Cricetulus griseus: one gene and its partner. The protein of the gene in region 2 purifies or fractionates together with the protein of the main gene of each other region. This does not show direct contact. Links are inferred from orthologs where the notes say so. Each region holds a gene or a part of one and is shown on either strand. Other genes may lie near its edges.

The links.
Region 1: the proteins of Mmp2 (region 2) and collagen alpha-1(V) chain purify together in Homo sapiens (co-immunoprecipitation; 3 studies listed by BioGRID and IntAct, counting the BioPlex papers as one, with this or other methods). This does not show direct contact. The link is inferred for Cricetulus griseus from reciprocal best matches to the Homo sapiens genes MMP2 and COL5A1.

What each region holds. Positions count from the first base shown.
Region 1 is NC_048599.1:139,697,596-139,701,413, forward strand, and holds part of collagen alpha-1(V) chain, read left to right. Parts: coding exon 1-18; intron 19-1,314; coding exon 1,315-1,368; intron 1,369-2,211; coding exon 2,212-2,265; intron 2,266-2,349; coding exon 2,350-2,457; intron 2,458-3,210; coding exon 3,211-3,264; intron 3,265-3,366; coding exon 3,367-3,474; intron 3,475-3,818. UniProt on the Homo sapiens protein: Type V collagen is a member of group I collagen (fibrillar forming collagen). It is a minor connective tissue component of nearly ubiquitous distribution. Type V collagen binds to DNA, heparan sulfate, thrombospondin, heparin, and insulin.
Region 2 is NC_048596.1:168,546,644-168,550,461, reverse strand, and holds part of Mmp2 (72 kDa type IV collagenase), read right to left. Parts: intron 1,431-3,818; coding exon 1,257-1,430; intron 1,077-1,256; coding exon 903-1,076; intron 1-902.

The DNA of each region.
Region 1 (3,818 bases), on a different chromosome or scaffold from region 2:
GGAGAAGATGGAGATAAGGTATGGAGAAGTGTGAGTGTGTGGGTAGGCAGGCAGTGAGTACAAGGGCAGGGTTTAAACAGCATCGGATATGATCTAGAGGGCTCAGCTGGCAGCGCAGTGCAGTGTCCCTTCAGACCTGGTGTGAGGGGATGATTTTGAAGTAGCACACAAATAAATGGCAACAAATAAGACATATGTGGGGAGCCTGGAAAGCGCTTGACTCCTTGGCAGACTTGTCTGAGACGTGTGCAGGTCATAGCCAGAGCTGAAGAAATTGCTCTCTGCTCCCTTCTGAACCTTTCAGACTGGGACTGTGTGGGGCTGGATTTAATGAGGTTTTACTCTGTGTCTATTTTTAAGTGTCTTCCCTTGAATGATCGAAGCTCTGTTTTTATTGCTATTTCTGATGCCATTACCGAGGAGCCTGGATTTTATACTTCATTAAGGAGAGACTGTGTGGCTTAGCTCTTCAGCCCTGTTCTCCATTTGTCATAGCTCTCTGGTGATATTTCTGACTTTGTCACCTCTGCACAGAGGACGTCTTAGTCTTCTGTCTCCATGTGGGAGGCGGTCCAATAGAAACACCAGGATGGTAGACTGCCACATCACCGTGTCTACTAACACCTTTGCAATAACCACAAAGGAAACAGAGTAGTGGAGGAGGTGGTTCATTAGTAAAGTGCTTGCCTTGCAAGCATTAGGATATGAGTTTGACTTCCCAAACACAAGTTTAAAAAAGCCAGGTGTGGCGGTGTGTCTGTACTCTCAGAACCCAGGAGGTGGAGACAGGAAGATACCTGGGGCTCTGTGGCTGGCCAGCCTAGTCAATGGAGGCAAGTTCAAGGCCACTAGAAACCTGCCTCAAAAAGGAACAGATAACAAAATAGGGGACTGAAGAGACAGCTCAGTGATTAAGGCACTGGCTGCTATTGTAGAGGACCAGGGTTCAGTTCCCAGCATCCATATGGCAGCTCACACCTGCCTGTAACTCCAGTACCAAGGTACCCAATACCCACTCTGGCCTCTTCAGAGTGTCTCATGCAGTGCACAGATATACAAGCCATGTGCACACACATGAATGTGTACACACACACACACACACACACACACACACACACACACACACCATCTATATATACACAGACATCAAAATCAGAAAGGAAATCAAATTCACATAAGAAAATGCTTTCTGTTGGCAAATCTTGGTACCATCTGGAGAGCAACTGTTGTCAGTCTCCAAGAACGATTGCCCAAAGGACTAAGAAGGGTACATCCAGCCACCGGACTAACAACGTCCTTCTTATCCATCCCCAGGGAGAGATCGGGGAGCCAGGGCAGAAAGGAAGCAAGGGGGACAAAGGCGAGCAGGTAAGAGTGTAAGTGTGCTGGAGTGGCTGCTGAGAGCAAAATGACCCTCTGTTCACACTCCGTGATTCCAGAGAACTCCTGGGTCACACCAGTTACATTTCTTTCCCAAGAGTATCCAGTGTGCATGTGTGTTCAAGTGTGTGAGAGAATCTCTTGGTGTAAGAACATCTGTCTGCCTGGGGACCCATCAGTGAGGACCACAGAGCTCTGCAGAGGCAAAGCATCCATTTGTCCCTTAGTCTTTCATACATCCAGGGACACGGAGTTGAGGGTGCTACGGCCCTGTCACCCACACCAGCCCCCCCCCAGTGCCATGAGTCCCCTCCAAAGTGGGGACTAGTCTGAGCCTCAGACTGGTGTCAGTGTCATTACTCCTGAGGTGATATCAGAGGCTTCAGTGCAGGCCTCTGGCTCTCTGTTCCTCCTGGCTTTTCTCTCTCTCTCCATTCCTGCACCCACAGTGATAGGCACTTGAGGACAGCATACAAGAAAGGGTCATGGTGGAGTCCTCCCTTTGAGGCCTCTGATCCTTGTTGTCTGAGGGGGTCTCTTCTGTCACAACAGGGTGTATGGTGGTTGCTGAGCGGACACAGAGTAACCTTTCCTGTTTCTGTTACCCATAGTAATGTGATCTTGGTTGAATTGAGAGTCTTACCTACTTCTCAGAGCCTAAAACCTGGCTTGTGCCATGATGTTCATAGTTAGTGTTCCTCTGATGACTGGCCCATTTGACTCTGATAAGTCACATCTTGCACAACCCAGCCACTTCTGGTGACAGAATTTACCTACTCCCAGACTCATCTGCAATGTCAAAATAATTATGTCTCTGTTTGACCCCTACAGGGTCCTCCTGGACCTACGGGTCCTCAAGGCCCCATTGGACAGCCAGGTCCCTCGGTGAGTATCTATGTTGAATGATGTAGCAAGGCCTACCTCTCAAGCCGTTGTCCATCCTCACCCATGCTCACTTCCTTCCTCCAGGGAGCAGATGGTGAGCCAGGTCCTCGTGGACAGCAAGGCCTGTTCGGGCAGAAAGGAGATGAAGGCTCAAGAGGTTTCCCAGGACCACCGGGGCCAGTGGGATTACAGGTAACCATGGAGCTTCCTAGGAGATCCCCCCCCTCAATGTGTCAGTGTCTTGCTGGGCCCATTCTTGCTGTCATTGTAAGCATGAGGAAACTGAGCCTCAGTAGTAGGGATTGGAAGATCTGCCAGTTTTCCAGTACACACATACACTTGGGTGATGCTCATACATAGTCAAAGCTGCTTCTGTGTTTACCATAGAACCCTGGGAAATGGTAACCTGTATTAAAGGGATACAAACCACCTAGAAGTGACAGCCATCTACCCAGTCCACCTCATTCAATGCCCTTACCCACACGATTCAACTGGATGTTAGGGAAGTACCAAGCTCGCTGTGTGCTGTAAAGCATACACCAGCCTTCAGTTTTATGTTATGGGGCATGTTAAATGTCATCAAATATTCTTTGAACACAAGACTTTATTTTGGAAAACACATTTTTTAGTTACTAGGTGGTATTTGGCATATGGAGGGGACTTGATTTATCCGGAAGCGTCCCTGCTGCCGCCTCATTAGGTTTATTGTTTTATGGGAAGCTGCCATAAGCGCTGGTGCTCATAAATCTTGGCATTCTCCTCTGATTATGTCCTCGGCTGTTTGAGCTCTGGAAGCAGGAAACCTCTTTCCGTGGAGGGAGACTCACAGAAACATATTTCAGGGCCTTCGGGAAACATCGTGGGAGAGGCAATCATGGCAGTGACAATCATGAGAGCCATGTGTGTCTCTCACAGAGTAGTATCTCACCAGTTTCCTGTCCACAGGGTTTGCCAGGACCTCCAGGAGAGAAGGGTGAGACAGGAGATGTGGGCCAGATGGTAAGTAGCTGGGCCATTGAGACCCAGTATGGTGCTCCCGGTTTACATTTTGGGGAAGGATGTTTACATCTTATGTTGTTCAATGGCCTCTCTTCTTTCCAGGGACCTCCTGGTCCCCCAGGCCCCCGAGGACCCTCTGGAGCTCCAGGTGCTGATGGGCCACAGGGTCCTCCCGGAGGAATTGGCAACCCTGGTGCAGTGGGAGAAAAGGTAATGTTCATCTACTTATCCCAGTGTCTTATCCCATATGGGATAAGGACTTATCCCATAGCTACATGAGAAGTAGTGTGTTTGTGTGTACATGGAGTCCTGTGTGCCTGTGTGCGTATGCACTCGTGTGCCTGCGAATGTGCACACACAAGCATGTATGCCTATGTGTTTGAGACACTCCCATTATACTCATCATGGAACCTAAAAGTAGATTCATGACCCCAAGTTTGATACTCTGACAGTGTTCATTTGTAACAGCTGTTTGCCAAATCCAAAGCAATAACATGCTCGTTCCGCCAAGCCCCGTTCCCTCTCTCCCCTCTAACTCAGATCTGATGAAAGTC
Region 2 (3,818 bases):
GAGAGTGTAAGGCTGTTTGTTCCCATTTCCTCCCTAAGTGTTTATTTACAACAACAAAAACGAAACTAGAACAGAGGCTCATTCTGTCAGGCTCTAGACCCGTCCTGATTATTTGAATGTCTTTGGGGTACCTGAAACCTGAAGCCCTGGGCCTCTGGGCGCTGAAAGATAGGCCCAAAGCACCCTGCTCAGTTCTGACAACAGTAAGGTCACTACTGACTGTTTTCTGTTGCCTGCCTGGAAAGGTGGCTGGAGTGGAAGGCAAGAATGGAAAGAGCATGGCAGATACCCACCAAGGATCAGTGGCTAGTAATAGGGTCTCACTTTGGAAACTGTGTAAATGTTTGCCTGAATTGGCTGGTCCTAAGCAAGAAACCTGTCTTCACTGTGGCTGAGCAGAGTCTCTGCTCAGATGGGGAGGTCTGAGAGCACAATGGGGTATCTTGTTGTAGTGGTTTGAAAGACAATGGGCCCCAAAGGGAGTAGCACTATTAGGTGAGGTCTTGATGGAGGAAGTATGTCACTGTGGGGGCAGGCTTTGAGGTCTCTTTTGCTCAAGCTTTCCTCAGTGTGACTGTTAGTGGACTTCAGTGTGACTGTAGGTCAACTTCCTGTTGCCTGCAAGATGTAGCACTCTCGGCTGCAGCACGACATCTGCCTGCACGCTGCTGTGCTCCCCTTCATGATGATAATAGACTGAACCTCTGAAAGTGTAAGCAAGCCATGCCAGATGGTTTCTTTGTAAGAGTTGCCGTGGGCATGGTGTCTCTTCACAGCAATAAAAACCCTAAGACACTTGTCTAGGGACAATGTCTGATCTGAAAATAGTCTGACCCTCAGAATAGTCTAGCTCAGGTGTGGAGGAGTGTCTGGTGTCTCTACCAAAAGCCAGGGCTTCATACCTTGGTCAGGACAGAAGCCCCACTTCCGGTCATCATCATAGGTAGCTGTGGTCGCACACCATATTTTCCCATCATTGCGACCGGCACTGGTGCAGCTCTCATATTTGTTGCCCAGGAAAGTGAAGGGGAAGACACATGGAGCACCTTCTGAATTTCCTCCCACAGTGGACATAGCTGTTGGGTAAGGAACACAGGTCAAGGGGCAGCAGAGGATCTAAGGCCACTACCAGGAAACAAAGACAAGATATTGACATTAACATACACTCACTGGAAAGGGATGCTGTGTGTGGACAAGTGGGTATTGAATGGCAAAATGCTTGCCTCTGAGGGTCAGAGAGAGGCAGTGATACCCACCGGTCTCTGGGCAGAATCCATATTTCTTATCTCGGTCATAGTCCTCAGTGGTGCCACACCAGCGGTAGCCGTCTGTGCGGCCCTCGGTGGTACAGCTGTTGTAGGAAGTGCCCTGGAAACGGAACGGGAACTTGCAGGGCTGTCCATCTGCATTGCCTCCCATGGTAAATAAGGCTGGGGAAAGAAAGAGAGGAAGAAGATGCCACTGAGAGAGATGTCTGCCTGGGCAGAGCTGGCTAGTCAACCACTTGCTGGCTCATGCAAACCAAATGGTTGCTGTGTTAAAAATATTAATTACAAACAATCTCTAGGGAATAGAGAGATGGCTCTGCAGTTAAAAGCAACAGCTGCTCTTCCAGAGAATTCAAGTTTGGTTTCCAGCACCCAGGTCAGACAGTTCACAACCATTTGTAACTACAACTCTGGGGAATTTGATGCCTCTGACCTCGGAGGGTACCTGCACTCATGTGTACATACTCACATAAAGACCCACACACCTACACATAATTTAAAATGATAACATAAATCTAAAAGGCCACTTTCCCCTCATTATAGTGAAGATCTGCTCCTCCGAGAAAACTCCAGTCCTTTCTGGACAGTTTTACTGCTGCTGTGGCCCCTGCAGAATGGAGAGGAGAAGGAGGCAGGGACAGCTGTTGTCTAAGCCTCCCGTTCTGAGAACTGCAGGATAGGGCCATGACTGGAGAATAGAGAGCGGTAGAATCAAGGTCAGCCTGTCTGTCTTGGGCTCTTCCAAGCTTTCTGTCCCTCTATCCACTCCAGAGTTACAAAATGGTGTGGATCTGGAATTGCCAACTAGCAAAACCACAAGTACGTAACAAGGACCATCTGTGCACAGCAGTGCCAGAGGTGACATCACCAGGCCTGTTAACTCTACCACGGGCTGAATGGAGCCCAACCCCTGGCATCCCAATGCAGAACTTGGGGGTGGGGGTCTCTATCTTCAGTTCAACCCTAAACAAGAAACCTTTCCTAATGAAGCAGGAGGTGTGAGACCTAGGGAAGAGGTGAAACTGAGTCGAGACTCTGGATGATTTAGAGTGGGGAACAGCTAAGTGACCACTCGGATCCCACCAGCTGTGTTTCTGCCACCCAGAAGCCCATCTCCTCTGGGACCCACACGCCTCCCAAAGAGAAGGTTGGAGAGCAGACACTGAGTCAGCCATCAGGAGGGCCTGAGTAATCAGAATTTGCTGTTCCAAACCCAAACACGTGTGCACTGTGCGTACTTGCACCTGGCTAAGGACCAAAGAAATGGCCAGTGTCTGACACAGAGGGAACCTTTCCAAGCTCGTGAAGGTGGAGGCTGTTTCTGTATCTATCCATGAAGCCTGTTCTATCAGAAGGGCTGAATCAGAGGTTTCTGTCTTTCCTCGTGTCCTACTGGGAAATGCAAGACACAGACTTTTCTTTTAAAATCCCTGGTTTGCTAATAGTCAATTGCTTGAGTTTTAGTACATAGTTTAGCTTCAGTGGTAAAAGCATAAACAGGCTGTGGGTAGAGATCAGTGGTGGAGGAGAATGTGTCTAGCATGTGTGAGGCCATGGGTTGGATGTCTCAAAGAAAGAAGGAAAAGGAGAAATGTAAACAGGAAGACAACTAGAAACTCTTTGTTTCTTCCCTTCTGTCTGGATGATTGGTGCCAGTGTTGTTTTGCAATAGGGACAGGGAGAGTTGCAAACATACATACACAATTATATACAACTACAGTCCTTCCTCAACCCAAACAAACTGCCCTTAATTAGTCCATACCCCAGAGAGATTTTATGGGCTGGGGAATAAGCTAATACTTAGAAGTATGGCTGTATTTTCTCCCATTTCTCCAACATTTACTGGGCTTCTGATCTCTGGAACCATCAAGTGAGATGGCCTGACCAAATATGAAGTCGTGCATACTGTTAAAACGATTTATGATTAGAAAGCATATCCAGGATGTTTTCAAAGTTCCCCTTTCCGCACTTTTACCTCAAGTGATGGTAGATGGAGAAAAAACGTTTTTGAGCTTGAATGAGCACGGGGTGAACTCGCGAGCGCGCGCGCGCACGCACACACACACACACACACACACACACACACACACACACACACACACTGAGTAGAGCTAGGTGTCTTTGCCATGACACAAAGACAGAAATCAGAATTAGATGTCATAGCTGTGACCTCTTACACTGACTCTCAGTACAGTAGGACCAGTGTGGGAGAGAGGGCTAATACGCTCAGATTACAGACCCTACTTCAATCAAGGCTTGGACTGAGCCTTGTTCTCCTCCCACAGCTAAGCCTTCCATCCATCTCTGTGCCTCAACTCTCTTATCCTCCTGTTTTCCTGTCCTCCTGTTCTTGAGCCCTGGGTCTTGTTTGGAGTGCATAGTGGCCCTAGAAACAATCTAAGGTTATTCTCATGTGTGTTAGAAAAAAAATAATATACCAAATCCACAATTTCACAAATAATACTGCTAACAGTGAGACTTTCAAAAACCTGAAGTGACTTATGTAGATATAAAGTAAGTACATATGGTCATACATCACAAAAATAACAT